Linked DNA regions of Sus scrofa. The protein of the gene in region 3 binds, or shares a complex with, the protein of the main gene of each other region. Links are inferred from orthologs where the notes say so. Each region holds a gene or a part of one and is shown on either strand. Other genes may lie near its edges.

Region 1 (10,843 bases), on a different chromosome or scaffold from region 3:
CTACTCCTTTTATTTCTCTTCTACTCCAAATACTGAAGACTGAGGCCTAGTCCTTCCAATGACTTATTTCATACTCTCTCTTAGAAAATCTCATCCCTACCCATCAATGTTGCACACAACTCCATTTTATGGCTTCAGTCCCTATCTCTCCTGATTTCTAGAGCCTTATAGGTCATTTATCTATGCACTTGACATCTTTTAAATGAGTAAAAGGTATATTCAAATCTGAACTCAAGATCATCACACAACCTGACAAACCCAGTCTTCTCCCGGGTTTTCTATCTTGGCAAAGGGCAGCCTTATATCCAGCCCAGGAGAGCCAGAAACCTAGGGGTTATCAATTATACTTTCATCTCCCTTACCTCCATATCCAATCCTTCACCATGAGCCTCACAAATATGTCTCCTTCCCTTCACCAACACAATCACACCCTAATCCAGTGCTTCTCAACAGGGATAGTATTAGTATTTGAGGCAGAACAATTCTTTGCTAAGTGGGACTACCTGCACATATTGGAACTTTTGGTACCCCTAAAACACAGGATCCTCCAGCCTGGTCCTTATGACAACCAAAACACCTTTACTTTCAAAGAGCCCAGGGGAAGGAGAAATAGTATCACCCCCAGTTGAGAACAACAGCAGTAATCTCCAAAATGGTCAACCTATAATCACTCTGTCCCCCCACCATGTTTTCCCCACTGCATAAAGGTCCTTTCAAAATGCAAATCTAGGGAGTTCCCGTCGTGGCTCAGTGGTTAATGAATCCGACTGGGAACCATGGGGTTGCAGGTTCGGTCCCTGGCCTTGCTCAGTGGGTTGAGGATCTGGTGTTGCCGTGGGCTGTGGTGTGGGTCACAGACATGGCTCGGATACCGTGTTACTGTGGCTCTGCTGTAGGGTGGTGGCTACAGCTCCAATTGGACCCCTAGACTGGGAACCTCCATATGCCACAGGTGTGGCCCTAGAAAAGACAAAAAAAAAAAAAAAAAAAAAAAAAGAAAATCTAATAATGACATGGTCCTACAATGACTTCTGTAGCAGAGATGTCTCACTGTCACCAAAATCCTTTTTTTTTTCCTTTTTTCCTCCACACTAGAACACCTGAATATTAGCTGAGCATACAGATACCTAGGTAAAGACCACATTTCCTACCTCTCCTGTAGGTAGACATGACTGTTGGTTAAAGACATAAAAAAGAGAGAAGAATGTGCAGCCTTCAGGAAGGATGTGTGCCCTCTCTGTTGACTATAACACTAATGGGATTGCTTAGAGCTGGAGAGTCACCTTGTTCCATAAGTAGAAACTGCATGACAAGAATGTTACAGCAGTAAGGTCGAGAGAGCCTAGGTCTCTGATAATCATACCAGTCCTAGACTGCCTATCTTCATAAGACAGAAAAATAAACTTTCATCTTGCTAGGATAAAGCAAAAAATAAACTTTTTATTTATACCATTACTGTCTGAGTTTTCAGTGACTCTCAGCCAAATTTAATTCTAGCCAATACAACTTCCTACTTCTCTTAGGATAAACAAAGACCCTCAACATGGCCCAAGAACCTGCCTACTCCAGCCCTTAACCAACTATCCAGCTTCATGTTGCTCCACACACCACCCCTATTCTCTGCTCCAGCCGTACTGGCCTTCTTTCTCCTCTGTACCTACCACGATCCTTCCTGCACAGAGCTGTCACACAAGCTTTTCCATTGTCTCTTTCTCTGGTTAACTCCTATCCCATCTTCAGAGCTTAACTCAAGCATCATTTCCTCTGGGAGCCTTCCCTGACTTTTCCAACTAGATCAAACCACCCACAACCCCCACCCCACTTTAGGTTCTCAAAGCACCAGATAACTCTCCTTAATAAAGTACTTTTTGGGTTGCAATCTTACAATTGTGTAGTTACAGATGTATATACATTATATATACATGCTATATATACATATTGTGTATTTATAAATTCACATACTTCTCAAAGAATGATTTTGCTTCATTCTCATGTTGATTGTAGACTAGTTCCAAGTACATGTGTACAAATAGGGGATAAAAGAGTTGAGATAACTCTGCCCGATGGCAGTCCAGGGAACATTCAATGAAGTGTTTCAGTCCACTATAGTATTCTTCATACATTGTGGGGTCTCCTTGTTGGTTGTAGGCTGACAGCACAGCACTGACATCCGGCTGGTCTTCCACAGCTAGACTTCCAACTGTTTAAAAAACGAAAAACAACTCTGAAGAAAATGATGTGACATTCACCAAGAGTCTAAGGCTGTTCTGCTAAGGTCCAGAGGTGAACTGTTTCTCAGATGTTTTTCCCTCTCTTAAACTCTCTTCCCCAACACAATTACATAATCTTTGGACAGGATTCACTTTGTTTTAGTTACCCTTCCAAAACCCCTTCAGTCTGTCCCTATCTTAAAATAAAATTTTCAAATAAATACAAAAAAGGCTCAATATTTTTGCTAGAGCTACCTTATTTTATTTTTGAGGCCAGGCCAGTGACACATGGTAGTTACCATGGCAGGGATCGAACCCACACCACAGCTACAACCTGAGCCATGGCAGTCACAATGCCAGATCCTTAACTCACTGCACCACCAGGAAACTCTGGAGCTACCTTATTTTATTTTATTTTATTTTATTTTATTTATTTATTTTGTCTTTTTGCCTTTTTCTAGGGCCACACCCACGGTATATGGAGGTTCCCAGGCTAGGGGTCTAATCGGAGCTATAGCTGCTGACCTACACCAGAGCCACAGCAACTTGGGATCCGAGCCGCATCTTCAACCTACACCACAGCTCACAGCAACCCTGGATCCTTAACCCACTGAGCAAGGCCAGGGATTGAACCCGCAACCTCATGGTTCCTAGTCAGATTCGTTAACCACTGAGCCACTATGGTAACTCCTGGAGCTACCTTAAAGACAAATTTTATAAAACCCAGTATGTGCAAACCAAATAGCCATATTAATCTTCTCTACAGGCTCAGTGCAAATGGCAGCCACCACCACCAAGCCAGGCTCTGGAGTAACATTCCCAGCTCTCTGAGCTAAGTACTTTGTAACTTTCCTGTAACACATCCTATCCCACATACTTTCATATAGGTACACCAGTCACTCCCTATAAAACATAAGCATGTTAATGGTGGGGAGGACTTGCCTTCATTTCACGGCAGAAAACATGAGTATTTATTGGTAATATATACCAAACAATGATACATCTGTCAATAGAATCAGTTTGATTGTTGGAAATTTTTTAAGTTGCAATTATAGTACTGCTATGTACTTCACTGCATAATTTTTTTTTAAGTTCTTTTGGTTACTCTGACGAGCTCTTTTTCTCCTTTCTGGTTTCTGAGTTACAATCTTATAAAAAAAAAAAAAAAGATCAAGCTTCTGAAGCAATAAGAGATTACAGCAAAATAACCAACATAATTCATCCACCTTATAGTTCATTCACAAAATAGAGCATTCAGGAAAGATTCTGCTCAATCACATTTGTACACACTTCTACTTATTGGTTACAATGCTACCTATTTGTACTTCACTTCTGGCAATGTTGCAAAGATTAAGTCTCAGAAGTCCAGATTAATTTGGCTAAAGGCTCTACAGTGGATAATTTAATTCAATAAACATTCATTATTGGCTCAGGATTACCTCTGAGATTATACTGTGTATAAATTTTACTGCATGGACTTTGTGACAACAGTTTCTGGAGAAAAAGGGGAGGGGGAGCCTCAGTGTCAGGGGTAGATACCTAGGCATAAACTTATTAGTGCCTGACATTTTACATACATTATATCTGAATTTCAACAATAACGGGGGTGGGGGGGAACCTCTGGAGCTTAGGAAGAATAACAAGCAGCATCACAGAAGTAAAAGCAACAGGGACAGAAAATGAATTCGGGTCTGTCAACACCTGTTCCTAAATGAATGGTTCTCAAACTTTGCCATATACATCAATATCCCCTTGTAAGTATTTGTTTAAAACGCAGATTTCAGAATTTCCCACTGTGGCTCAGGGGAAACATATCTGACTAGTAGCTATGAGGACTCGGATTCAATCCCTGGTCACACTCAGTGGGTTAAAGATCTGGCATTGCCGTGAGCTGTGGTGTAGGTCGCAGACACAGCTCAGATCCTGCCTTGCTGTGGCTTAGGCTGGCAGCTGTAGCACGATTCCACCCCTAGCCTGGGAACTTCCATATGCCACAGGTGTGGCCCTAAAAAGCAAAATAAAATAAAATGCAAATTCCCAGAGTCCACCTGCATGGGGTCTGACTCACTAAGTCCGAAGTGACGCCTAGGAATCTGCATTCCCCTAAAAGATGGAACACTAGCGATAGTAAGCCTGTATTTTGAGAAAACTGGCTATACTATATTTCATCACTCTCTGGCTGTGTCAAAGCAAGTCCCTGGGCTCTTCTCAGACTCTTTTCTCATCTTTAAAATAGAGGTACTGTCTACCTCACAGTATAACAGTGAAAATTAAGATGCATAATTTAAAGTACACTAGTACAATATTGTACAAATATTGTTAGTGCTAATACACCCCTGCACAAGGCCCAAGAGCTTAAATAAAACGAAAGGGGCCAAAAGCCTGAACATCCCCGGCTCTCTGCGCCCACCGTCCCCGTACATCCCTGGGCTCAATAGCTCTCCAGAGCCTCTCTCTGGAACTGACAGCTAGGAAGAGGGTTTGACTGCGCAGCCGGCGCACTAGGGAAAGGGGCGGGCATGTGGCCCTAGAGGCGGGCCCAGGAAATTCAAAACAAGCCCGCAGAGGTGCAGGCCTGCCAGCCTCTGCCTTCCCTGCTTGATCTCCTACTTGCCGGTCTTGCCTCCCAGGGACCCCGCGGCTCACCTTTCCCCGGAGCCGCAGGACCTGTCGCTAAGCCCGAGACAGCAGAGGCTCCCGAAGCGGCGCTGCCGGGAGGCTCTGGGGCCGCAGGGCCGGGGCCCGAGGAAGTGACCCGGCTGAGAAGCGCGCTAGCCGTCTCAGCGCCGGCGCCGTCCGCCTCTCCCGGGGCTCCGGAGCCCGCCACTGCCTCCTCTAGCAGACGGGCCTCACGGCGCAGCGCCTCTTCGGCCTCACGGAGGTTGTTCTGCCGTAGAAACTGCAGTACAGCCAGCAGAGTCTGTCGGTCGTGGGGCCCGCCAGCCTCCGGAGCAGCGGCGGCCACCGGAGCCACCCCCGCCGGGGCAACGGCGGACACAGCCACCGAGGGCTTAGGAGTTCCACCATCCCCGCCGGCCGACGACGATGCCGCAACGTTCCCGCCACCGCCATTGGGGCCGTTGTTGGTTGCGCCACCGCCACCCTCGCCAGCGCCGTCCCCCGCCTGCGGAGGTAGCAGCGTCGGCGGTCCTTCAGGCTCTAACTTGACCGCCACCTCCGTCTGCTCCTCCGCCAGCGCCGCCATCTTGCGGCTGAGCCACCTCGCGCCGTCAAGCGTGATTGCGTTTTCGCCACATGGAGGGCGGGGAGGAGCGTTTTACGACAGCTCTGGAAGGCAATTTGCGGCAGTAGGAGGGGCGAGAAATAAGGAGAAAAAGGAATAGGAGCGAGAGCGACTTTCAAAAGTGAGTGACAAAAAGGCAGGAAGTTGGGATGAGGGACCGCCTCTTCTGTTTGCCCGATGATAATTACCGTTTATTGCGGACCGGCTATATTCAGGCACTGCGATAGACACTTTACATTATATGCCCTCATATAATTAAACAACCTCGTAAAGTACTATTATCTTCACTTTGCATTGGTTAAGCCTCCAGCATTGTCACTGCAGCAGCTCGGGTGGCCACAAGGCACAGCCAAAAAAAAAATTTTGTTTTTAAAGTAAGATTATGAAACATGGGGGGAGGAGCATTAGGGGAGATGAACAATAATTGGTTAGCATTTATTCAGCAGTGGCCAAGAGAGAAAAAACCAAATTCAGATGGTAACAATTATGAGATGGGGAAATTCATCCTATACCTCATGATCATTCAACTGATTTTTCTAATTCATTATTCGCTAATTGATATGTAATTAATTGGTAATTAGTTTAGAACTTAGATGAGAAATGCCATAAATAAACCCAGGTGTATTTACTATTCCCTGGAAAGATGTTTTACCCTATTATGAATAGTAAAACTTCTGATGCATACATCAGTCTCCTGAATTAGGTCTTAGAAACTGGATCCAGCTATACAGATGAAGCCCAGAAACTGGGACTGCAGAAGTACAGCCACTCCGTTTCCTTCTGTGGTGTCTAACCTTTTACCTGGCTTTGTCTTTTAAGTTCCACAGAGTCTGGTTTGGGACTTCAGCCAAAGCCACTTATACCACATAGAGTGGCTTTTCTGTTACACCACAAATAAAATCTGTAGTATTTTTTCTTTTCTTTTCTTTCTTTCTTTATTTTTTTATTTTATTTTATTTTATTTTATTTTATTTTATTTTTGGCCATGACCACAGCAAGCAGAAGTTCTTGGGCCAGGGGTCAAACCCATACAACAGCAGCAATCTGAGCCACAGCTGTGACAGTGCCGGATCTTTAACCCACTAGACCATCAGGGAACTCCCAAAATCTCTGTATTTTTTATTGAAGGACTTCAAAGCCCACTTTTTTTGTCTTTTTTGTCTTTTGTCTTTTTTTGTTGTTGTTGTTGCTATTTCTTGGGCTGCTCCCGCGGCATATGGAGGTTCCCAGGCTAGGGGTCAAATCGGAGCTGTAGCCACCGGCCTACGCCAGAGCCACAGCAACGCAGGATCCGAGCCGCGTCTGCAACCTACACCACAGCTCACGGCAACGCCGGATCGTTAACCCACTGAGCAAGGGCAGGGACCAAACCCGCAACCTCATGGTTCCTAGTCGGATTCGTTAACCACTGCGCCACGACGGGAACTCCCAAAGCCCACTTTTAATTTTTGTTTCTCTTTTCCCCTTCCTTCGTGATCCCTACCCCCATTCTTCTACTCTCTTCTTGGGATGCTTTAAGAAATCTGGTGTCAGTCTGTATCTTGTTCCTTTATGGGAGAGCTGCTCTTCCTCTCTGGCCCTTTCTCTTTCTCTTTGATGCTTGTTCATTTCACTCTAACATATCTAGGATTAGATTTTTCCTGCCTATCTTGATTGGCCCTTTATGTACCCATTCAATCTGAGGTTTTTTTTAAAAAATTCTGGGATTTTAGTAAGCATTGTATCTACAAATATTTCCTTCCCTCTAGTTTCCCCCTTCTTATACTCTTATGATGTAAGTATTGATACTTATACTTCCATCCTCTAGGTTTGTTAACCTTCATATTTTCATGTTCACCCCTTTCTGATATCCTCTAGAAGACTTCTTCTACCTGATTTTTCAGTGTAGTTTTCTTGGCCTGGACTGTATTACTATATAACCCACTTAGTTACTTGCCTCAACCATTATATTTTTCACAATATTATGGATTGGTTCTTTATGATTTGTTATTCCTGCTTTGTGTAACCCAGTTGGGTGACTTTGTTCCACCACCACCCCCAGGGGCATTTAGCAATATCTGGAGACACTTTGGGCTGTCACAACTGAGGGTAGTGCAACTGGCATCTAGTGGGTAGAAGCCAAAGATGCTGCCAAACATCCCATAATGTATAGGACATCCCTTGTTGCTCCTGCCACAGCAAAGAATTATCTAGCCCAAGATGTCAACGGTGTCAAGATTGAGAAACCCTGATGTAACCAGTATGAACTCTTTTCACCTTGAGGATATGTATTATTTCATTCAAATTATCTTTCCATCTGATGCACTTAATATTTTTCATCTAATCTAGATTGTTCAATTTCTTGCTTTAATAGGCATTGTACCTCCTTCTGTATCTCATTACTTTTCTCTATGAATGTGAATTTCCCTAAAGATATCAGGTGCCTTAACTGATGTGTATACCCAGAAGGAGAGGCTGAAGCCCAGCACTGGGAAAAGGTGAGGGATGTACCAAAACCAGGAAAGCCTGTGATGTCACTGGGCTCCACCACTCCCTGTTTGTCAACACACATGCACACATGTGCACACACACGTATGCTTATGGTTTTCACAGATCTGTCAGTTTCTAGGGTTGGGTGTGATGGGGGAGAGCCCACCACTGGTGTGAGTTACAATCTTGTTTAGTTCCTAAGTTTGAACTCACACTGGTGAGTGGTGAAACTGTGAAAACCCTAAGATTTATGTGTGTAATAGCAGCTCAAAGTGGAAGGGGCCAGAGGGCCACTGCTATGATTTAGTCAGGGGAAGATTTTTTATTTGTGTTTGTCTTTACCGTGCCTCACTTTGAGAAGAATGGCAAGGATAGCCATTGACTATAGGAAATTTCCCGAGGGGTGTGTATGTGTGTGTGTCTCTGTCTTATCTGTCTGTACTTGTACATATGTACTGGCAAAGAGAGAATGATAGAGCTCAGACAGTAACAAATATGTGCTAGCCAGAAACCTCGAGGCAAAGGAATAGGGGAGAGGATGAGGTATGCAAAGGACTAGAGGTGAGAGAGCTAGGAACATATTTAGGAAATGGAACAAAACTCTTTATGGCTGGAGCATCAAGCATGAGGGGCAGATGTAAGAGATGAGACTAGAAAGATAAGCTAGGATTGGGTTCTGACATAAATCATCAAGCCTGTTCGAGCATTCTAACTCCATCCCTCAAGTAATAAGAAGCCACTGGAGCACTTTAAGCTGAGAAAGGAGATAAACAGATTTATGTGTTTATATATCTCAGGCTAAATTGGAAGAATGGATTGGAGGGAAGCAAGACCAGAGTTAGAGCAGTTCCCGATCATGGCTCAGTGGTTAACAAACCCGACTAGGAACCATGAGGTTGTGGGTTCTATCCCTGGCCTCGCTCAGTGGGTTAAGGATCTAGCATTGCTGTGAGCTGTGGTATAAGTCGCAGATGCAGCTTGGATCCCAAGTTGCTGTGGCTGTGGCATGGGCTGGCGGCTACAGTTCTAATTAGACCCCTAGCCTGGGAACCTCCACATGCCACGGGTGCAGCCCTAGAAAAGGCAAAAAGACAAAAAAAAAAAGCCAGAGTTAGAAAACTCAGTTAGGAAGTAATCGCAAAACCTGACTTGCATTATCTACTGCAGTAGCCACCAGTATGATCATTGACCACTGTCACTGAATGTAGCTTGTCTGAACTGAGATGTTCTGTAAGTGTGAGATATGTGCTGGATTTCAAAAACCTAGTACAAAAGGAATGTTGATAGGGGCTTGGGGGTTTTTTGTTTTTTTGTTTTTTTGTTTTTTTTTCTTGTAGGGCCGCACCCACAGCATTATGGAGGTTCCCAGGCTAGGGGTCGAATTGGAGCTGTAGCTACCTGCCTGTGCCACAGCCACAGCAACACCAGATCCAAGCTGCATCTGCCACCTACACCACAGCTCGAGGCAATGCTGGATTCTTAACCCACTGAGTGAGTTCAGGGATTGAACCTGCGTCCTCATGGATACTAGTCAGATTCGTTTCCACTGAGCCATGACTGGAACTCCCAGTATATAGCTTCTTAATACCAGCCTCTTTCACTCAGTGTAATGCCTTTGAGATTCATTTGTGTTATTTCATGTTTCACTGTTTCATTTCTTTTTATTATTAAATAACATTTCATTGTATGGATGTACAACAGTGTATCTTTTCACCTTTGTGTATTGGTTTCCCAGGGGTGGCATAACAAAATACCAAATTACTAGTCTATAGCAGTGTGTTCATTGCTAGTATATGGGAATAATAGTGATTTTTGCATGTTGACCTTGTATACTATGACCTTACTTAAAGCACTTACTTGCTATAGAAGTATTTTTATGTGTATTCTCTAGTGACAATTATGTCTGATTTGAACAGGGAAAAATTAAAGGAAAACAGTTTCTCTCTACACTCAACACTGTGACACCAGATGTGTGGTTTTTTTCCCCACATTGACCAATTACCTGGCACCAGCTGGGTATCTGACAATTCAGTTGTCCTACAATTCAATTCTGATATTATCAGTCTGTGGTTAGTATCAAATCCCATAGGTTAAAGGCTCAGGCCCACAAGACTACCTCCCTACCATCAAACACCAGTCATAAGTGTAGGCCTTCCATATTTCTGACCAACCAGCTATAGATTGGGGTCCCATAACTCTTGCCTCCTGTTTGATAATTTGCTAGAACAGCTTACAAAACTCAGAGAAATAGTTTACTTCTGGATTAGTAGTTTATTATTAAAGGATACAACTCAAGAATATCCAGATGGAGTTCCCGTTGTGGCGCAGTGGTTAACGAATCTGACTAGGAACCATGAGTTTGCCGGTTCAATCCCTGGCCTTGCTCAGTGGGTTAACAATCCGGCGTTGACGTGAGCTGTGGTGTAGGTCTCAGACACGGCTTGGATCCTGAGTTGCTGTGGCTCTGGTGTAGGCCGGTGGCTACAGCTCCAGTTAGACCCCTAGCCTGGGAACCTCCATATGCCGTGAGAGCGGCCCAAGAAATGGCAAAAAGACAGAAAAAAAAAAAAAAAGAAAAAGAATATCCAGATGGACGAGATGCATAAGGCAATGTAAGGGGGTGGAGTATGGAGCTTCCATGCCCTGTCTAGGGGCATCCCCCTCACAGCACCTCCATATGTTCACCAACCCAGAAGATTTCTGAACCCCTTCAGTTGGGGTTTTGAATGGAGGCTTCATTATGTAGACAATTCATTAAATCATTGGCCTTTAGTGATTAATTCAGCCTCCAACCTCTCTTACTTTCCCCAGAGGACAGGAGAGTGGGGCTGAAATTTCTAACCTTCTATTCGCATGATTGGTTCCCTTGACACCCAGACTCCATCCTGAAGCTATCCAAGAGTCTTCAGCTGTCAATCAT
Region 2 (10,852 bases), on a different chromosome or scaffold from region 3:
TTAACTTCAGAAATATTATATCGAGTGGGTGAGATTAGAACTGGAAGACACAACTGAATATGACTACTCTATGTGACTGAAATCACTTGTCAGAACTAGTAAAGTTCAGGAGTTCCTGTCATGGCTCAGTGGTAATAAACCTGACTAGAATCCATGAGGACTTGGGTTCAATCACTGGCCTTGCTCAGTGGGTTAAGGATCTGGTGTTGCAGTGAGCTGTGGTGTAGGTTGCAGACGTGGCTCCGATCCTGAAATGCTGTGGTTGCGGCACAGGCCAATGGCTACCTCAGATTTGACCCCTAGCCTGGGAACCTCCATATATCGTAGGTGTGGCCCTAAAAAGAAAAAACAAAAAACACTGGCTTATTATAGCAAGAGCATGACTAGCAAAGATGCACAAAACTCATCCTCAAAAAGAGACACTAGAAAAAAATTTTTTTTTAAATTTTAAGTGGTGAGACACTGGGAGACATACCAAGGTCTTTCAATATAAGCAAAGGGATAGAAAAAAATGGAACCTAGGAGGAAGTCTGGCCATTGAGAAAGATAAATCTAAATGGGTGAGGATTTAATATGAATAAAAATCCTGACTAAGTGATTTCTCCACAAGAACAGCTCACAGAGTGACTTATACACCAGAGATCATTTTATGACCTAAACATCTGAAGACACTAGAAGTGACACACTAGTGGTAACGAACAGACTGTAACAACCTCAAGTTTTTCCAACTGTTAACTTCGGTCGGTCGGTGATGAGGCAAAAATTGCTTCTAAAAACATAACTGTCAAAGTATCAACAATCAAACTGATGAATTACAACTTTATTTTTTACACTTAAAGGCTGATAAAAACCATTACTAATCCTATTAACGTCCAACATATAGCAATTAAAAAATATGGTAACCACCTTTACTCATTAAATACTATTTTTCTAAAACATAACTTAGAAACATCCAGCATGCATGTTTAATCCCAGTACAATGGATTCAAAACCAAGTATACATGCTACATGCATCGAGGCTAGATTACAAATTATCATAGTCGTCGTCGTCATCATCCTCGTCATCGTCATCATCTTCACGTTTTCTTTTCAATGCGTTTGATGATTCACTGGCAGTATTTTGTGATGACACCATGTTAGTGGTAATAAGAATATTTTTGGACCCAATTAATGATGGATTAATTAGAACATTCTGAACTGCTGATGTTGCAGGAATTGATGCTTTTACAGCTGGGGACTGTGAAGTGGGCATCTGTACTGTGAACCTTTGCCCTGTGAGGGACACTGGTGTCCCTACTTTAGCTGGAACAGACATGGTTTGTTGGGTTGGTGTGCCAAGTGTGGGAGTACTTGGTCTGCTAGTAACTGAACCCACACTTAACCGCGGAACTGTTATTCTTCCCGCAGAAGTAGATGCCTTTTTTTGTAAAGACTTAAGTCTGTAATTTGGAGCAGTCAAACAGTATCTATCAGGTGGCAATCGAGGGCCTGAATATGGCTTGATCAATGGCAAAGGGGTTTGATTTCTTTGCCTTGCAATATCTAATAAAAAATCTCTTGGGGGAGGAGAGGTAAATGATTGGTCAGCACGACACTGGATTGCCAATCTCACATCATCTGCATCAACAGTCGCTTTCTTAGCATGACTTGAATAAATTTTTGCATCATCTAGAATTGTGGTCACATATCGGAAGGCAAACTCCAGCATCTGATTTATAACTCTTGGCTCATATTCTGTAATCCCCATATCCTTCAGGATTTGTGCCATCATCTGTGCATCTTTCGGCATGCTCTTGGGAGAAGCCATCTTGCCAGACTCCATGATATCCGGTGATCAGACTTTAGATCATTTGAAAAAAATATGTACATTAGATCAAACCTGAAATAGTTACTTTAGAAGCAACTGTCAGGAACTTTAAAAAATTGAAATACATGTTAAATTTTCAAAAGTATAAACTTAAAAAATATGTTAAGTTTTTTCCATTTTAATGAGACACATTTAAAGTTCCCTTTACTTAAATTTACTGCATTTCTACCCATTATGGAATGTAAAAAGATGAAGACACAAATAAGAGAATAATAAAAGATTTGGGAAAAACAGGGTAAAATAAATAAAAACATGTCACTTTAGAATATGTGCAGTTGCTTGCAGGCATGCGCCTACCAAACTAATCTAAGAAAATCCCATAGAACACATAGGACAGCTATGTCCTGATGCCTGAGTTCAAAATGACATCCTTACAGTGAGCTCAAGATACTCACAGTCTTCAGATATACTTAGCAACACCCCAACCTTTAGGTGTTCACCCAACTCAAAATACTCTCATATTCAGATTCTATCTGTCCTAAGTCCAATCTTCATGGAAACTGTCCCAATCAGTACTGTCAAAAAGAACTGCTGGCCGACTGTGGAAGGGATGTAATGGTCAAAATAACCAGGTTACAGCATTAAATAACTTGTTCTATCTCTATGGGTCCCCAATAGAGCACAAATTCCTTAATGGGAATCTTCCTGCTTTATATACCCCCATACAAGTACAGTACCAACACTCTGTTACTTCTCCCGCCCTTATTAATAAGCAAATATAGGAGTTCCCATTGTGGCTCAGCAGAAACGAGTATGACTAGCATCCATGAGAATGCAGGTTTGATCCCTGGCCCTGCTTAGTGGGTTAAGGATCCGACGTCGCCTCGAGTTGTGGTGTAGGTCGAAGACGTGGCTCAGAATCACATTGCTACAGCTCCAATTCCACCCCTAGCCTAGGAACCTCCATATGCCTACGGTACAGCCCTAAAAAGACCAAAAAAAAAAAAAAAAAAAGCAAATCTAACACTGAAGTGTCCCTTACCTTCTCGAGCTAAATCACCCACATTAATGTATTTCAATCCTGATCTTGATGCAAGTTCTTTGCCGAGTGTGGTTTTTCCAACCCCTGGTGTACCTGTAAGACAAACCACAGAAAAAAACTGTTTATAAAATATTTATTAGGTTTTAGCCAATGATCTGTCCTTAAGGTCCTTAATAACTGAAAAGTTTCCTAATTAGCAATCCTAATTACCATAACCTAATTCACACCATAACCTAATGAAAACCACCCAAAGCCTGCTGGACATGACAATCCTACTCGGTGTATCAGATTCTACCAGGAGTGAGGCTTGGGAGAATCTGATGACAATCAAAGGCTGTCTGCTACCACCATGGAAATCCCCAGATTGAAACTAGTTATCTCAAATAAATCACCATGAGTTATTTGCTTTAATTTTATTTTTATTTATTTTTGTCTTTCTGCCTTTTCTAGGGCCGCACTCGCGGCATATGGAGGTTCCCAGGCTAGGGGTCCAATCCGAGCGATAGCCGCCAGCCTACGCCACAGCCACAGCAACATGGGATCCGAGCCGCGTCTGCGACCTACACCACAACTCACGGCAATGCCAGATCCCCCACCCACTGAGCAAGGCCAGGGATGGTTCCTCATGGTTCCTAGTCGGATTCGTTAACCACTGAGCCACGACGGGAACTCCTATTTGCTTTAATTTTAAAAAATTAAATTGTTCATGGGAAAAAGTTCAGCAGTATGAAAGACAAATCTCATTTCCAATATGGACCCTCTGTACTCTTCCCTAGAGGCAACCAGTATAAACTGGTTTCTTTTATTTCTCTCTCTAAAGAATCATATGTATGTTTTTGTAAATATGTCCATATATATATATATATATGATAGCATACTACATATGTGTACATATCTTCACACTGTGTGTATATATACGTGCACACACCAAATACTCCCTTTTATGTAAGTGGCAATACTATATATTGTTTTTCAACTTCCCTTTTTTTCTTTCTGGCCATGACTATAGGCCAGGGATTGAACTTGCACCACAGCATCAAGTCAAGCCACAGCAGTGAATAAGCCAGATCCTTAACCCACTGTGCCACCACAGGAACTTCTATCTTATTTTTTATATCTACTGTATTTCAAAATATATAATCAAACTCATAACTTTCAGCTGCTCAGGTTTAATACCACTGAAATTATAAAATTTAATCATTTTAATTGAAGATAACAGGAATTGGAGTTCCCATCATGGCTCTGTAGTAAGAAACTCAACTCGCATCCATGAGGATTTGGTATGGTTCCCTGGTCTTGCTCGGTTAGTTTAAGATCCAGCATTGCCATGAGCTGTGATGTAGGTCACAGATGCAGCTTGAATCTGGTGTGGCTGTGGCCAGCAGCTGCAGCTCCAATATGACCCCTAGCCGGGGAACTTCCATATGCTGCAGGTATGGCCCTAAAAAGCAAAAAAAGGTAATAGGAATAGATCTTCATGTAAGGACAGTAACAATCCACTATAATATACTAAATTTGAACTCTGAATTCACCATGTTTTCAATAAAACACATTTAGATTTTTGACGATATGGTTTAATATTAAAAAAAACCCAAGACACTCACTATCTGACCCAAACAAATCAATGTTGTACAATCTTCCCCTTAAGAAATCGTCATGGCTAACCATTAATTTGTTGAGGTTAATCTGCAGCTTTCAGAAACAGAAGGATTTGTGTGCTGCCAATAAATAACCGCCTCAATTTTTATAATGCAACAGCATCTATCTACATCCATTAGATTTTTTTCATGAATGCCCTAGGATGCCATTAACTGCTACAATCTAATAAACATTTTCAGAGTTAAACAACCAAAAATAATATTCTTTATAAGATCGGTATGAAGCATTTTACTATCCCTCATATATAACAAACGCCCTCAGTATAGATCCGAAGACCCAGATGAACCCCCACAGTGAATCTTAGAACACCTCTACACGAGAAACGACCAGAGATACTCAGTAGATGCCTTTCCTTCTTAAAATAATGAAAAAAAAAAAGCCTCTGAAGCTAACTTCACAAGTGTATATAGCAAATTAATCACCCCACACCGCAAACACCCGAATCCTTTCATCGAAATCTGCCAGAAAGAAAGGAAAAGCGAGAAACGGGCCCCGGAGGCCTAAAGCATCCACCATTAAGAGATCTACCAAAGGCCAGACACTGTCTTACATTATATTGCTAAAAGCCTGAAGACAACTCTGCCAAGAGGCAACGGCCATTTTGCAAACAAAAAGGTGATTGAGAAAGCTTAGGCAGCTTGCCAAAAAAGGAAGCTAGATACATCTACCTCTCTCCGCCTCACCGAAGGGCCAACCTCTGGCCAAACAAAATTGACGTTCGCGGTCCCCTCCCCCCGCCTCCCGCAACCGTCGCGAGGGCCGGTCACGAGGCCCCAACAAGTGCCACGCTAGGCGACCCTTGTCGACCCCCGACACAGAACACTGAACGCCCCCCCCCCCCCACTTCGGGCGTCCCAGGCTGGCCCCACCGTCCAGCACCACCCCCACCGCGCGCCCTGACCGGTGAGCAGGATGTTCGGAAGCAACATGGTCCTCACCGCGCTGGCTCCGGACGCTTCTGCACACGCGCCTTACACGCGACAGGGAGGGGCCGGAAGGGGCGAGGAGCGGCAAATGCCTGTGGCGCGGAGGTACGCGAGACCTTGAGTGGCGCTCGCGACCCACATCTGCCGCCTTGCCACTGACCATTGGTTACCTAGGCTTCTATAACACGCTTCCATTGCAGGGTCCAAAGTACCAAAACAGGTCATGTCCGCGCTTCGGGTCAGGCAGTGCGCTGGATGCCTAAGACATTCGCTCTTTTAGCGGCCCCGCCCTTCGGGCCGTGTCGCCGAAGCGCCGATGCTCTGAAAAGTCCCCGGGAGGCGGGACCTCCAAGAGGCTCTGCGCTGAGCCCGGTTAGGGCTGAGTGGCTTTGCTTACACCTGGAGCCAACCGTGGGCTCCACCACTGTTCTGCGCCCACGAGGGGATGCTGCTACCAGAAGGTAACGCTTCCGTGGCTGTGGCTGCGGTGTATTTATGTCCTAGAGACCTTAAGTCCAGGTCTGCCTTCACGCCTTCTCAGACTCTTGTAGCCCCTCCTCCTGACCTGCCCATCCCATCTGTGGATTAGAGGGGTGAGCGTTCAGAGCTCTGGCCTGGAGCTGTGGCAGACCAGCTCATCTCCGCTTTGCCCTGACTAGTAGTATTACGTTGGATGATTGTATGAGCTTAGTATCCCCTGTGCAGTGTATAGAGTGGTGGTGGGTCTGCTAGAAATACTCTTCGAGGTCTTTTCTCCCTCTGATGTCTCATTTCGGGAACCTGGTATCGTCAAAGACAGTTGCCTGCTTTTTAAAGGAGGTAACTGTCAGTCTTTTTTTCAAAGGGTTAGAGTCTAGATGGTATCAAGTGTATGACTTTTATTTTGACCTGCCAACGGTATTTTCTGAAATAGTTGTTTTTTCCATCTTAAATACGTTTTTGACGCTGTAAAGCAAAAACCCCTCTAGACATGAACAGCTTATCTATATGTGTGTGTACGATTTGTTTTCTAGTGTTTAAAAGTATTTACACATTATAAATTACACGTGCTTCCAAACTATAAAAAAGCTCAGTTTACAGGTTTGTAGACGCTAAAAAAACTTTCTTTCTGGCTAACTTAAAATTGGTGAGTTCACTGGTTTGCCTAAACATTGAAGAATTATGACAGTTGGAAAACAGTGTTGCCCAAAAATGTTGTGATAACGTTTAAATAAGGACGGTTATAGAAAAAGTTTACAGTAGGAGATAAAAATCTTTGTTTAAAGTGAGTGATATGTCTGAATTAATTTTTGGTGTCTTTTTAAAAAAATCCTCTTTGAATTTTTGAAATTTATAATTTGAAATGAGGGAAATTTTAATTTTAAGTATAAAACTGCAGAAATAGAATTGTCTAATCTTTATTAATGACAAAAGGTAGATATACAAATGTTCGGGATTTTTTTTGTTTTCCTAATACATTGAGTTAGATGAAAAACTGAACACCACAGATAGATTATTTGACACAATTATAGTCGTTGAAATTTTAGTTATTTGGAATTCCCATAGTGGCTCAGCAGAAATGAATCCAACTAGCATCCATGAGGATGCGGGTTAACAATCCTTGGCCTAGCTCAGTGGGTAAGGATCCTGAGTTGCCATGGCTGTCGCTAGCTGGCGGCTACAGATCTGATTCGACCCCTAGCCTGAGAACCTCCGCAGCTGCAGATGCACCCTTGGAAAGACAAAAAAAAGAGAGAAAATTTATAGTTTCAGTTTAAAAATAGAATTTATTTTAGCATTTTGAATTCTTGCTTCCCCTATATTTACTGTGTTCTCTCCCACTAGTCCTTAAGCCTTAACTTTATTATGTTCTTGACTTTTATCATGTGTATTAATTACTATACTTCTATTTTACAGTTTTTCTAAATTTGAGATTTCTTTCTTTTTTTCCCTAGGCGAATTGTACTTTAATGTGTTACAAGTTGTATACTCCGGATGGGAACTATCAAAGTTTATAATGTCAAAAACTTTTCTTAGACCAAAGGTATCTTCCACAAAGGTATGATACACTAAAATGGCCACATGAAATTGCCCAAAAAGAATTAAAGTTTTTGTAGATATTTGTAATAACTTATTATTGCTAGCAAAATAAGGGTGCTCAGTATCTGTTGTAATTGATCTAACAAGTCTGGTAATAAACTGTGAAACAACTGTACATTTAACATGATTTAATGAGACACAGATGTCATATGCTATCACTTATATGTGGAATCTAAAAAAAATGATACCATGAACTTCCTTGCAGAACAGATACTGACTCACAGACTTTGACAAACTTATGGTTACCAAAGGAGACACGTTAGGGAGGAGGGATAGGCTGGGGGTTTGGGATGGAAATGCTGTAAAATAGGGTTGTGATGATTGTTATACAAGTATAATAAAATTTATTGAATTACCCCCCACCCAAGGAACAAAACTTCAATTTTGAAAAATATTTACAATCTCAGTCACAAAGAAAAGGCTAAAAACTCTTGAATGGAAGAGCAGTAGAAAAAAAAGAAATATGCATCTTATAGCTTAACAACAGGCCCTGCCTCAGAAATTATGTGGTTCACTATATGCCAGTTTTTAGCAAGGCTGGCAGGTGGGTAGGACAGGTGTCATATAGTGTCATACTCATGAAAGTTAACTTTTTTCCTAGTGATGGATCTCATTTTTCTCTGATCTTAAGCAATTTATTTCCCTTCACTGTTTCTTTTTTTTATCTTTTTTGTTGTTATTAAGGTAAATGGAAGTTCATATTTATGTAGGAAATGAAACTATAAAATGTGTAACATGCAGATCGGGATTGCTAGATTAGACTTGCTGTCAACAGTTTTACTTCTAATACTATTTTAATATATTTTTTATTTTTTTATTTTTATTTTATTTTTTTAATTTTTTTGTTTTTTTTAGGGCTGCACTTGCAGCCTACGAAGGTTCCCAGGCTAGGGGTCAAATCAGAGCTACAGCTGCCTGCCTGCGCCGCAGCCACGGCAACCCTGGATCCTTACCCGTCTGAGTGAGGCCAGGGATTGAACCCACATCCTCCTGGATACTAGTTGGGTTTGTTACTGCTGAGCCACAATGGGAACTCCTAATATATTTTTTAAAATAGAAGAGAGAGTTCTCTTGTGGTACAGTGGGTTAAGGGTCTGGTGTTTTCACTGCTGTGGCTTGAGTTGCTGCTGTGGTGAGGTTTGATCCCTGGCCCAGGAACTTCCACATCCTGCAGGTGCAACCAAAAAATTAAAAAATGAAAAAATAAAATAGAGGAAAGGGACCAAAATTGTAATACTAGTGGCAGTCTTTTTGAGAGGAGGAAGTGAATTAGGTAGCTGTGGCTGAAATATTTTTCCAGAGGTCTTCATTTCTTCCCTCACTGCTGATAATAATCCTAATCCTTTGTCTTTAAAAGAGGAGTGAAGCATGACTTTTGCATTCATAAGACACTTAAGTTAGGACTCCAGCTTACTTCTCCTGAGCCTACTTTCAGCTCCAACCTCTGGTTCTTTTTCTCCCCTAAAGGAGCATTATCTTATTTACTACTAAATGGTTCACAACTGTGGCTGAGTATTCTTCAAGGAAAATAAAATCTTGGTTTCCCCTTGCTAGTGAGGCAGGGAATTTCAAAATTCAGGTACTAAACTAGATAGTTCTAAATTTATATTGTTTGTATGTTAAGGAAATCCACTTTTAAAATTCTAAATTTTTTTTTTTTTTTTGGTCTTTTGTCTTTTGTCTTTTCTTAGGGCCGCACCCAAGGCATATGGAGGTTCCCAGGCTAGGGGTCTAGTCGGAGCTGTAGCCTCAAGCCTACGCCACAGCCACAGCAATGCCAGATCCAAGCCACGTCTGCGACCTACACCACAGCTCACGGCAGCACCAGATCCTTAACCCACTGAGCGTGGCTGGGGATTGAACCCGCAACCTCATGGTTCCTAGTCGGATTTGTTTCCGCTGTGCCACAATGGGAACACCTACAATTCTAAGTTTTTAAAAAACCTTTTTAATCCTCCTAAATATTTGTATATTAAAATTGCTTAACAGTATCTTTCTCTGTGTATGCTTCAGAAGGATTTTATTATTTTTTTAAAACCTTTTTTTCTTCGTCTTTTTTTAGGGCCTCACATGTGGCATATGGAGGTTCCCAGGCTAGACGTCTAATTAGACCTATAGCCGCTGGCCTACGCCACAGCCACAGCAACAGCAACGCAGGATCCGAGCCGAGTCTTCGGCCTACATCACAGCTTACGGCAACACCGCATCCCTAACCCACTGAGCAAGGCCAGGGATCGAACCCATGTCCTTGGGTTTGTTAACCACTAAGCCATGACGGAACTCCCAAAAGGATTTTAAAAAAAAGGAAACGATGTAGGGAGATGTAGAGTGGTCAGTAGTTTCTATAGATCAGAAGACCGTAAAGTAGAACTTACTGATTTTCCTGCTCTATTATATAAATCTGACAAATCGTCCTCTCTGGAAAGCTGCTTCCTTTCCATAAATAAATTGGTTGCTTCATGGGCTGAAGTAAATATAATCAAATCATAACTACAGATTATTCATAGTATCAGGATTCTTAGACCTTACGTTTACAAATCTTAAAGCTGGCAGGGATTTTTTGAATGTATGAAATGGTTCTTAGTTTGTGAATACTTATGCCTGGTCAAGGCATAAGTATGACTTTTCTTACTGCTCTACAGGGTTAAAATGATACCATTTTTCTTTACTTCTTTTTGGTAGGTAATTTAAATATTTATGTTTCAGTGTTCCCAGTGAATTGTAAAGAATCAGCCTAGTCTTTATCCAGGAAAGATTATAATTAATAAAGAGAATCAAGTTTGTATTCTATATTCATTTATATGGCATTCATTGTAACCATGGTCAGGTAGACAAGTATGCATTTATACTTATTGTAAAGTAGAAAAATAACTAAACACATAGAGTTAGTTTTATTTAAAAGATAATACGTGAGGTTTTTATTTTAAATGATGCATGTTATTTATTTAAATGTTGCATGTGTATATATGAAATTTTTTTACAGAGTAATTTAGGTATATAGGGTAGATGCAAAAAAAAATTTAATAGTATTTACATGATTTCCTTTTTTCAGGTAACAGACTGGGTAGACCCATCATTTGATGATTTTTCAGAGACTACAAACATTTCTACTATTAATGCTACATCATTAAGTGTGAATAACTCAAGCCTTAGAAGAAAAAAGGTGCCTTCCACATTAGAAAGTAGAAGATCTCCAACTAGAAAAAGAGGAAACCTATCTTCTTCAAAACAGATTTATAGTCTAGAAAATTCAAAAGAATATGTGTCTGAAAATGAACCATGGGTGGATAAATACAAACCAGAAACTCAGGTAATAACTACCATACAAACAAACAAGTC
Region 3 (10,848 bases):
TTGAACTGCCAGCTTATAATTGGCTGTTCCTACCTAGCTTTCCCAAGGTAGGACTCCCTTCCCTCTCAGTTACTGAACCCTCACATCAACATTCCTTCCCTCATCCCTCTGAACTGCTCACCAACAAACCCAGAACACCTGTAAGTAAGACACTCCATGGCAGGAACAGGATAAGTAGCATGGTTTACCCTTTACTGGGACTGTTTTGTGTGTGTTGTCGGGGGTGGCAGTGGGGAGGTAGGAAAAAGGTAAAAGTCTTTCTGATACTACCATAAGGAAGTGGACATGAGAGAAAGTGCTCCAATTACCTTCTTTATAGGAAGAACAAGGTAATCAAAAGGAAAAAGCAAGGGGCTTACTATACAAAATCTTGACATTTCATTCCCTGGATCAAAGCAACTGCCAGCAAAGCCCCTTCAGGTTTCAACTGAAGGAACCACAGAAAATGCAAAAGAGAAGAAAAGTCTAATACAGAGTGATAAAAATAACTCCTAGTAGCTAAAAATTATATAGCCCTTAACATGCCAGGAGTTATTTTAAATTCATTTGGAGTTCCTGTCATAGTCCAGCAGAACCATGACGTTGCGGGTTCGATCCCTGGCCTTGCTCAGTGGGTTGAGGTTCCAGTGTTTCCAGGAGCTGTGGTGTAGGTCACAGATGCAGCTCGGATCTGGTGTTGCTGCAGCTGTGGTGTAGGCTGGCAGCTACAGCTCCAATTAGACCCCCAGCTTGGGAACCTCCATATGCCGAGGGTGAGGCCCTAAAAGGACAAAAAAAAAAAAAAAAAAGACTAAACTCATTTAATCGCCACAACAATTCTTTGAAGCAAAAACTATTATTATCCCCAGTCTACATAGATGGGGAAACTGAGGCACATAGGTAAATGATTTATCCAAGGTCATAAGATAGTGAGATGGAAACTGAGTTTGAATCCAGATGATCTGGCTCCAGAGTCTATACTCCTTCCCACAACAGGATTACCCTTCTTGGTAGTTTAGGGAAGATGGGAGCCATATGGATTCTTATCCTACAGTCTATAAACTCCCAGTTAGTTCATGGATAAGCTTTGAGAAGTCAGGGGACTCTAATGAAATTATATGCAAAAAAATTTTAAACATTATTTGAGTGTGTGTGTTTTTCTGGGAAGAAAAATCAACTCATAAGATTCTCAAAGGTGTATATACTAAGAAACTGTCACATGTTAGAAATGTTTCATATCCTGATCTGACTAGTGGTTACAAGTGTATATATATATATATGTATATATATATATATATATATGTAAAATTCATCAAGCTATTCACTGAAGACTAGTCCTATCTGTCTGTCTATCTATCTATCTATCTATGCTTCTTAGGGCCACACCGTGGCATACGGAAATTCCTAGGCTAGGAGTCAAATCAGAGTTGCAGCTGCCTGCCTATTCCAGCAAGGCTGGATCCAAGCCGCAGCTTCGACCTGCACCACAGCTCACGGCAACACCGGATCTGTAATCCACTGAGCGAGGCAAGGGATCAAACCCATGTCTTCATGGATACTAGTCGGGTTTGTAAGTGGCTGAGCCACAGCAGGAACTCCAAGACTAGTACAATTTATTGTATATAAGTTTTACATTAAAAAAAAAAAAAAAAAAGGAGTTCCCGTCGTGGCGCAGTGGTTAACGAATCTGACTAGGATCCATGAGGTTGCGGGTTCGGTCCCTGCCCTTGCTCAGTGGGTTAACGATCCGGCGTTGCCGTGAGCTGTGGTGTAGGTTGCAGATGTGGCTCAGATCCCAAGTTGCTGTGGCTCTGGCGCAGGCCAGTGGCTACAGCTCCGATTAGACCCCTAGCCTGGGAACCTCCATATGCCGCAGGAGTGGCCCTAGAAATGGCAAAAAGACAAAAAAAAAAAAAAAAAAAAAAAAAGAGGAACTCCTAGAACACTTCTAAAAGCAGGAATGAGTACATTAAGAGCAATTCCTATTTAGGAGAAAAGAGTAGACAAGGCCTGCAGATGAAAAGAAAGGGTAACTTTGGAAGCCAGCCTGGGATAGAGAAGTACCCTAGGGTTTATTCTGGCAAAAGTCTCTAGGCCCAGATACAGGAGGGAGAAAACAAACACAGGAGCCAGTATTTTCTCCCCTCTCTTTTCTGGATTCTGAACATTGCCCCCACCTTTTTTAAATAGGTAATTTCAGACTTAGAGAAGAGTTGCAAAAGTAGTACCAAGTTCCCCAATGCCTCTATCAGTTTCCCCTTATGTTAACATCTTATATAACCAAAGATATTTCTCAAAACTAAGAAATTAACAGTGGTACAAGTACCAGTTTCTCCACTCATGTACTTTTTCTGTTCTAGGATCACACACTATTCAGCTGTCATGCCTCCTTGGTTTCCTCTGTTGTGCAACAGTTCCTCAGACTTTCCTTGTCTTTTAGAACCTTGATGCTTCTGAAGAATACTGGTCAGTTATCTTGTAGAATGTCCTTCAGTTTGGGTTTGTCTGATGTTCACTCATGGTTAGGTTGTGATTATGCATTACTAGAAAGGGTACACCGAGATGATGTACCTCTTAATGCCTCATATCATGAGTACATAATGCCAACATACATTACTAGTAATGTAAACTTTGATGACTTGCTAAAGTAATGCATGCCAGGATTCTCCACTGCAAACGTAATTTTTTCCTTAAATGTTCTGAGGAAGATATCTTGTCATTAACATTTTGATGAGAAGAATTCATCAGTAGGGAAATACACTTCACTGGAAAAGGAAAAACTTAGATGGGAAGTTTGTAAACTGTTTTGATTAAAGAGTCTGTAAAGGAGTTCCCATTGTGGCTCCGTGGTTAATGAACCCTACTAGTATCTATGAGGGCATGAGTTTGATCCCTGGCCTTGCTCAGTGGGTTAAGGATCCGGTGTTGCTGTGAGCTGTGGTGTAGGCCACAGACACAGCTTGGATCCAGCATTGCTGTGGTTGTGGCATAGGCCAGCAGCTGCACTCCAGCGCTGCTGTGGCTGTGGTGTTGGCCAGTAGCTGCAGCTCCGATTTAACCCCTAGCCTGGGAACCTCCATATGCTTCAGCTGCGGCCCTAAAAAGACAATAAATAAATAAATAAATAGAGACTGTAAGGATATAAAAACCAGCAGTGAATGCTTTGAAACTTTGTGTTATATTGGCAAAAAAAACGTTTTTAAAAAAAGGTTTAGGAACAGATCTTGTTCAGGAAGGTATATGAAGATTCAGGTAAGACAAGGAAAAGGCTTCGAAGATTCTGAACTCTTGTCATCACAAAACAAAGCAATCCAAGTGGAACAAAGGCTTCTGGTAAGAACTGACTATATAATCATCACTATGGGACACTCTGATATGGAATCCCTTTCTTATGGAAACATAAGAAGCAAAACCAACCATAAGAGGGAGGGGGAGGGACAGGGAGGTTGGGGTCAGTAGGTGTAAACTATTGCATTTAGAGTGGACAAACAGTGAGATTCTGCTGTATAGCACAGGGAACCATATCTGACCACTTGTGTTGGAACATGATTGAGGATAATGTGAAAAAAAAAAGAATGTATACGGATGTATGGCTCGGCCACTTTGCTGTGTAGCAGAAACTGACAATAGACTGCAATCCAAAAAATTTTTTTAGAAAGAGAAGCAAACCCACATACAAATGGAGTAAACAACATCAGAGATAGAATAAGAGGTGATCCACTTTCTCTTTTTTTGCTTTTTAGGGCCACATCTGTGGCATATTAAGTTCGAAGGCTAGGGGTAGAATCAGAGCTACAGCTGCCAGCCTATGCCACGGCCACAGCAACGTCAGCTCAGCCTGGCTGCGACCTACACTGCAGCTCATGGCAACGCTGGATCCCAACCCACTGAGCGGGGTCAGGGATCGAACCTTCATCCTCACGGATACTAGGCAGGTTTGTTACACTAAGCCACAATGGGAACTCCAGGAGTGGTCCACTTTCAATGAGAAACTGATATAACAAGGGATTTGAATGGTTAAGGAAGAAAAAGACATACTGACTCTGCAGTTTCAAGAGCATTTAGGAACTGCTTACATGCAAACCAGCATAAGTAAACAAAGTATTCAGGCGCTGCCTCATCAGGTCAGCCATGTTACATGAAAAGGACTGGGACTGGGAGATAGAGAGCCCGCACATTCTCATGGTGCCTTTCAAGGGCTGGCCTGGATCAGCAGCAGCAGCAGCTGCTCTCCTTGCTGCTGCCAAAAAGGGTAAAGCTCTCTACTCAGAGAGTAGAACAGAGAACCAAAACCTTATTATCTCTATGCCACTGGACTGCCTCACACTGTTCACTTTCCTTGTCCACTGCCTTAGTCCAAAGCCCCAACTTAATTCCTATTCTCAGCACCTGTTCCAGGAGCCAACATAACCTTTGGCTTACAATCAAAGGAGTCCCTGCTCCTACTACTGCACAGGTAAGGGACAGAAAAAGTAACAGAGGTACTGAATTGAAACACTGATCATATTTCTTTTTTCTTTCTTTTTTTTTTTTTTTTGCTTTTTAAGGCCACACCCATGGCATATGGGAGTTCCCAGGCTAGGGGTCAAATCAGAGCTATGGCTGCTGGGCTATACCACAGCCACAGCAACACAGGATCTGAGCCATGTCTATGACCTACACCACAGCTCATGGCAACGCTGGATCCTTAACCCACTGAGCAAGGCCAGAGATTGAACCCAAAACCTCGTGGTTCCTAGTCGGATTTGTTTCCCCTGCACCACGATAGGAACTCCCACATTTCTTTAAAAAAAAAAAAAAAAAAAAGTGTGTCATATACATACATATACATATATAAATACATACACTGGGGTAAGAATCATTACTATGGTTCACAGGTTAAACAAAATTTACAGCTAAGTCTGACAATATTGTCCCTACAAGGAAACACATTCAGAACAGTAAGTCTACTTTGAACAGACATTTCCAAAGGTTTTTATCTATAACGAAATCATTGCCAAATACTACTTACATTCTTTAGAAAAAAGTCTCTTTCTTTTACCCTGTCCACCTTCGGCACCTCCTCCAATTTCTTCACTTTCTTCCTCAAACTAGAAGTTAAAATGTATACATAGAGATGTCAAGCACTGCATTGGACTTTTAAATAATTAACATTTTTTCCCCACCTTCAACAATGATATCATGCCTGAAAGCCTAAAGCAGGCAGCAAAACCCCATGAAACCTTAGAATTTCAGAGGCCTTAAAAACTATCAGTCCAACTTCAGACTCATGCAGGAATGGCTTCTACAATATCCATAATAACCGTAGTGTCTCTCCTGGAAAAGTTCCAATACCATATTTTTGTTGTTGTTGTTGTTTTTTACCGAGCCCAAGGCATGTGGAAGTTCCCTGGTCAGGGATCCAACCCGCGCCACAGCAGCGCCGCAAGCCGCTGCAGTGACAACGCTGGATCTTTAACCTGTTGCCCACAAAGAACTCCCCACACCGTTCTTTTTTTTTAAACCAACTAAGCTGGCCTATTTCTAGACAGTTTTGCTAGTAAAGGAGTTGATACTGAATTAAAGCAAGCAAAACTAAGTTACTAAGCACTGCTAACACAGCCCTAAGAACGTTCCTCAAGGAAGCCTTAATCCCATTTTGTGATGTGAAAACCGAGGCTCAAATAACCTGCTCACAGAGAAAAGAGATTTTGAAATCCATGTTCCCTGACTCTGAGTCCATTATTTTTCCACTATTTTACAATAAGTATATAGTTTTGTTAGCAGTTGAATTGACGGTTCATAATGAGCGCTAACATACTAGCTTTGTCCTCTGATGATTCTCTAGATGTTTCAGAGAGTGTCTGGCAAACATGGACCAAAAGCAAAGGGCAGGCAGGGAGCCACGCTCCCACTCTTCCCGCCCCGCGTACCAAAAAGATGAATCTGAAGGGAAAGGCTAGTATGAAGCAAAGTCTCTGATGCTCTCCTCTGAAAACACTACGGAAAAAAGCTCCAGTTCTAAACTGTGCCTCCGCTATAAGTGCCCGAAAGAGTGCAGAAAAACGTGGGCTGGAACACAAGTGGTCACTCACGGTGGGGTCTTCCTCCTCATCTGCCATCCCACCAGCCAGCCGCCTCCCGGACTCGCCTGCCTACCACCCAGCGGGTTTTATCACTTCCGCTACCTCACTTCCGGTGACGCGCAGAGCCGGGGCGGGGCCTAGTCGCGACCCCGCCTGCGCAGGGGACAGCAGCTCGTCCGACCTAGCGGCCGGACCGAGAGGGCACTTAGTTGAGGATGACGTCTTGTCAAGAAAAAATTAAAAATTAGCAAGGAAAAAGGAAATCTCGGGCAAGGTGGCGTGTATCTCTTGCTTCCGTACGTCGGATTTCTGCTTCCTGATTCGACTGCGAAGCTATGTATCGTTCAGGGCTAGCTAGGGGTTCGTTTAAACATCTTCAGCCCCTCAGAGTTCCACTGTTATTTATTACTAAGGTCTGTATTGGTTACTGAGGATGTACTTTGAAAGCAGTTCTCAAGGGGGTGTTATCATCCCTTAGACTGGGGACTTAACTTTTGTGGGGCGTTTTTGTTTGTTTGTTTGTTTAATCAGAACTTTGGGAAAACCATGGATTTTAGAAGGCTAAATAAAGCTAGGTGTTTAAGCTGTTCTGCAATGCAAGGCCACACAGGGAAAGATTACCCCACAATACTCTATTTCTTTTTTTCTTTCTTTCTTTTTTTTTTTTTTAGAGCCATACTTGAGGCATATGGAAGTTCCCAGGCTAGGAGTTGAATCAGACTAGAACTGCAGGCCTATGCCACAGCCACAGCAAATTGAGATCCAAGCTGCTATGTGACCTACACCCAAGCTCACAGCAACACCAGATGCTTAACCCACAGAGAAGGCCAGGGATGGAACCCTGCATACTCATGGTTACTAGTCAGATTCGTTTTGGCCACAACAGGAACTCCCAAACTACATTATTTCTGAATGTTCTTAACATTCCTGTGAGTGAAAAATCAGTTCATAATTATCTGGGCCAAGAACATAACTGTTAATATATAAACACTGGCATTTTAGTGGCCTAGCAGTTAAGGATCCAGCCTTGTCACTGCTGCCCACCCCACCACAAAAGAAAGAAAATTCAATGTACCTTAAAAACACAGGAAAATGCTTTGTGTTTGCATTTGGGCTTTTTTGTTATTTATTTTTGCTTTTTAGGTTCTCACTCGCAGCATATTGAGGTTCCCAGGCTAGGGGTCCAATTGGAGCTTTAGCTGCTGGCCTACACCACAGCCACAGCAACACAGGATCCGAGCCACATCTGCAACCTACACTACAGCTCACGGCAACGCCAGATCCTTAGCCCACTGACCAAGGCCAGGGGTTGAACCTGTGTCCTCATGGATGCTAGTCAGATTCATTAACTGCTGAGCCACAAAGGGAACTCCCTGTATCTCTTTGTTTGGATCCTTAACCTACTGAGCCACTAGGGAACTCCCACACTGAATTTCCTAGGAATGCATATATATATATATATATATATATATATATATATATGTCTCAACCGCACTCCCTTTCTTGTCACAGAATTCCTAAAACCCTTGTAATTTGTTAAGTGATAAGAGCACTAGGAGCATCTCCTGTTCTAATATCTGGTCTTTGACATCCATCCCACACCTCCTCTATGCACACACACCGGGCTATTAAAACCCCTGTAAATTCCTAAGTGATAAGAACACAACTTTGTTCTAAAAAGGCATCTCTGAGTGGGCTCCTGGACGGCTCTTAGATAGGGACTAGTCACCAAAATGACCAAACCTTGATTAGAACCTTGGAATTTTCAGGCCTCTTCCCTGCCACTACCCTCCCAATTCTCTAGAGAGAGGAGAGGACTGGAAATGGAGTTAGTAATCGATCATGCCTACTCAAGGCATAACAACTCCAACGGTAAGGGGTTCAGAGAGCTTCCAGGTTGGGGAACACATCCACTTACCTGGAGGTTGATGCACTTTAATTCCATGGAGGCAGAAGTTCTGTGCTCAGGACCCTCCCAAAGAGCGCCCTGTGTGTCTCTTTATCTGTATCCTTTATCATATCCTTTAATTAAATTGGTAAACATGTCTCCCCGAGTTTTGTGAGCTGTTCTACGAAATAACCAAATCCAAGGGGGGAGGAGGTCATGGGACCCTCTGATTTGTAGTCCAGTCAGACAGAAGTTGGGGGTAACCTGGGGGCTTACTACTTGTGATTGGCATCTAAAATTGGGAGCAGTCTAGTGGGACTAAGCCCTTCATCAGTGGGATCTTACACTCTCTCCAGCTCAACAGTGTCAGCATTGAGTTAAACTGCAGGACACCCACCTGAGGTCACACAATTGTTTGCTGTGTGTGTGTATGCGTCGGGGGGGATACGCCACATATTTGGTCACCAGAAAGGAAGTGTTCTGTGTGAAAGTAATGGAGAAAGATACATAGAAAAGAAAGAACTGGGAATTTCCCCCCAAAACAGCAACTACCCTGAAATTGGACAGAGATAGTACTTTGTTTTGTTTGCATCTCACCAAGAGCTGTGAACTACTCAGGAAATAATGTCATGAAAAGCCACATCACTTGTAATAATTTGGGTAGCCAATATGCACTGGAATCAGTCTGCATTTGTAGCTCCTTGCATTCACGGGGACTCTACATATACGTGCAAGCATCTGAGATCATTATACCCTCTAGCTAGTCATTTATATATATTTATAAATATATTTATATATTTATAAATATATTTAATATATATTCATATATCAAAATGCATATTATTATAATTTACTGTCTTTATTTTACCTTTATATTATAGTTAGGACATTATACTTTTTAGTTATGTGGGTACTTAGGTCTATCGGTTATTTATTACTGTGTAACAAATTATCCCCAAACTTAGTGGTTTAAAACAATGAACACTTATCACACAGTCTCCTCTGAAGAATTGACGCGGAGGATCCATTTCCAAAATCACACTGTTTTCAGCAGGATCCAATACTTCAGGTTGTTAAAGACCTCAGTTCTTCACTGGCTATTGCCAGAAGCCTCCCTCCACCCCTTGCCACGCAGTCCTCTTCATAGGGCAGCTGACAGCACGCCTCTATCAGCGCAGATGAAGGGGAGAACCAGGAAGCATACCCAAGACCACAGGTCTTTTTGTAACCTACCGTTGGAACTAGCACCCCACCACTTTCGCCCTGTGCTATTCACTAAAAGACATAAGTGCAGCCCACACTCAAGACTAGGTCGTTACACAAGGATGAGATTACTAGGTGGCACACATCACTGGAAGCTACCTGACAAGCTGCCTATCATGGTAGGGTAGATTGTGAGTTTTGATTCCGAATAATAAGGGAGATATTATATTTGTTATTTAGGGAGGACTGTTGGGTCTGAAAGGGTTGAGAACTGCTATATCAGGCAGTGATGAAACACTGGAATTGTCCAAGGGATCTTGTATAAAATATCCACGGTGTCCATTATCAGGGGAAAGGATACACACCAAGGAGTACTATGCAGCAATCAGAAGCAACAGACTGGTGGAGTTCCCACTGTGGCTCAGTAGAAACGAATCCCACTAGTATCCATGAGGATGCAGGTTTGATCCCAAGCCTCGCTCAGTGGGTTGAGGATCCCTTGTTGCTGTGAGATGCAAACAAGTTTGCAGCTGGAGCTTGGATCTGGTGTTGCTGTGGCTGTGGGGTAGGCCAGCAGCTGCAGCCCTGATTTGACCCCTAGCCTGGGAACTTCCATATGCCATGGGTGCGGCCCTAAGAAAATAAAATAAAAAATAAAAATTTTTGAAAAGAAGCAACAGACTAGCACCATAAGTAGAGCTTAGAAACACAGTGCTGGAGTTCCCATCGTGGTCAGTGGTTAATGAATCTGACTAGGAACCAAGAGGATGCAGGTTCGATCCCTGGCCTTGCTCAGTGGGTTAAGGATCTGGCGTTGCCATGAGCTGTGGTATAGGTTGCAGACGTGGCGCGATACCTCGTTGCTGTGGCTCTGGTGGAGGCTGTCGCTACAGCTCCGATTGGACCCCTAGCCTGGGAACCTCCTTATGCCGCGGGAGTGGCCCAAGAAATGGCAAAAAGACAAAAAAAAAAAAAAAACCACAGTGCTACATTTAAAAAGTGAGAAACATAATGAGATCTATAACAAAATACCATTTATGTATATTAAACACACATACACACAAAAAGCACATATTTTACAGGAACACATAAAAAAGTATAGGAGTTTCCCAGTGGCCTAGCAGTTAAGGATCTCCTGTGGCTCGGGTCACTACTGTGGCATGGGTTTGAACCTTGGTCCAGAAATCCTGCATGCCTCAAGTGTGGCCAAAAATAAAAATAAAAAAATAAAAAAGCATAGACATCAAATACATTAGTAAGGTTGCAGGTAGCAGAAATGAGAGTAGGGATAAAGGGAATGCATAATACATAACAAGTGAAGGCCTGAGAAGGGTCAGTTACGACAGTATGTCATGAACAGTGAAATGTGAATAATTGAACATTCTGAACCTGAGATCCAGATATAAACGGGGGGAAAAATGCAGTTTGTGAGTAGCAGAAATAAAACTGTGCTTCAACAGGATGTTTCCAGTGGGTGCCAGAATCAAGTTGGTTTGTTCAGAGACTGAACTTCATTCAAAGGCAGAGTTCCTGGTAGGTCTTTAAGCAGAAGAATCACATGACCCATCTTTAAGAAAAAGATCATTTCAGATGGGAAACCACCCAGGATGAGTGATGATTAGAACCTGAATTAAGACAAAGGAACTTTAGGAGTAGAATTCAGAGGACTTTGTATCTGAATGAATCTGAGCACTCTGGAGAGAGGTTTATATC

What was found.
Region 1: TAF13 (region 3) and TAF5 share a complex: the UniProt entries of both Homo sapiens proteins name them as parts of the TFIID basal transcription factor complex. The link is inferred for Sus scrofa from reciprocal best matches to the Homo sapiens genes TAF13 and TAF5.
Region 2: TAF13 (region 3) and TAF9 share a complex: the UniProt entries of both Homo sapiens proteins name them as parts of the TFIID basal transcription factor complex. The link is inferred for Sus scrofa from reciprocal best matches to the Homo sapiens genes TAF13 and TAF9.

What each region holds. Positions count from the first base shown.
Region 1 is NC_010456.5:114,299,166-114,310,008, reverse strand, and holds the start of TAF5 (transcription initiation factor TFIID subunit 5), read right to left. Parts: upstream 5,447-10,843; 5' UTR 5,416-5,446; coding exon 4,857-5,415; intron 2,201-4,856; coding exon 1,963-2,200; intron 1-1,962. UniProt on the Homo sapiens protein: The TFIID basal transcription factor complex plays a major role in the initiation of RNA polymerase II (Pol II)-dependent transcription.
Region 2 is NC_010458.4:47,494,042-47,504,893, forward strand, and holds TAF9 (transcription initiation factor TFIID subunit 9), read right to left. Parts: upstream 5,447-10,852; 5' UTR 5,438-5,446; coding exon of another isoform or gene 5,410-5,437; intron 5,407-5,409; exon of another isoform or gene 5,059-5,406; intron 2,943-5,058; coding exon of another isoform or gene 2,850-2,942; intron 1,840-2,849; 5' UTR 1,823-1,839; coding exon 1,025-1,822; 3' UTR 805-1,024; downstream 1-804. Other genes in the region: AK6 (adenylate kinase isoenzyme 6), read right to left, coding at 2,850-2,942, 5,447-5,597; cell cycle checkpoint protein RAD17, read left to right, coding at 5,880-5,895, 7,369-7,472, 10,566-10,823. UniProt on the Homo sapiens protein: The TFIID basal transcription factor complex plays a major role in the initiation of RNA polymerase II (Pol II)-dependent transcription.
Region 3 is NC_010446.5:110,976,096-110,986,943, reverse strand, and holds the start of TAF13 (transcription initiation factor TFIID subunit 13), read right to left. Parts: upstream 6,129-10,848; 5' UTR 6,081-6,128; coding exon 6,054-6,080; intron 5,070-6,053; coding exon 4,991-5,069; intron 1-4,990. UniProt on the Homo sapiens protein: The TFIID basal transcription factor complex plays a major role in the initiation of RNA polymerase II (Pol II)-dependent transcription.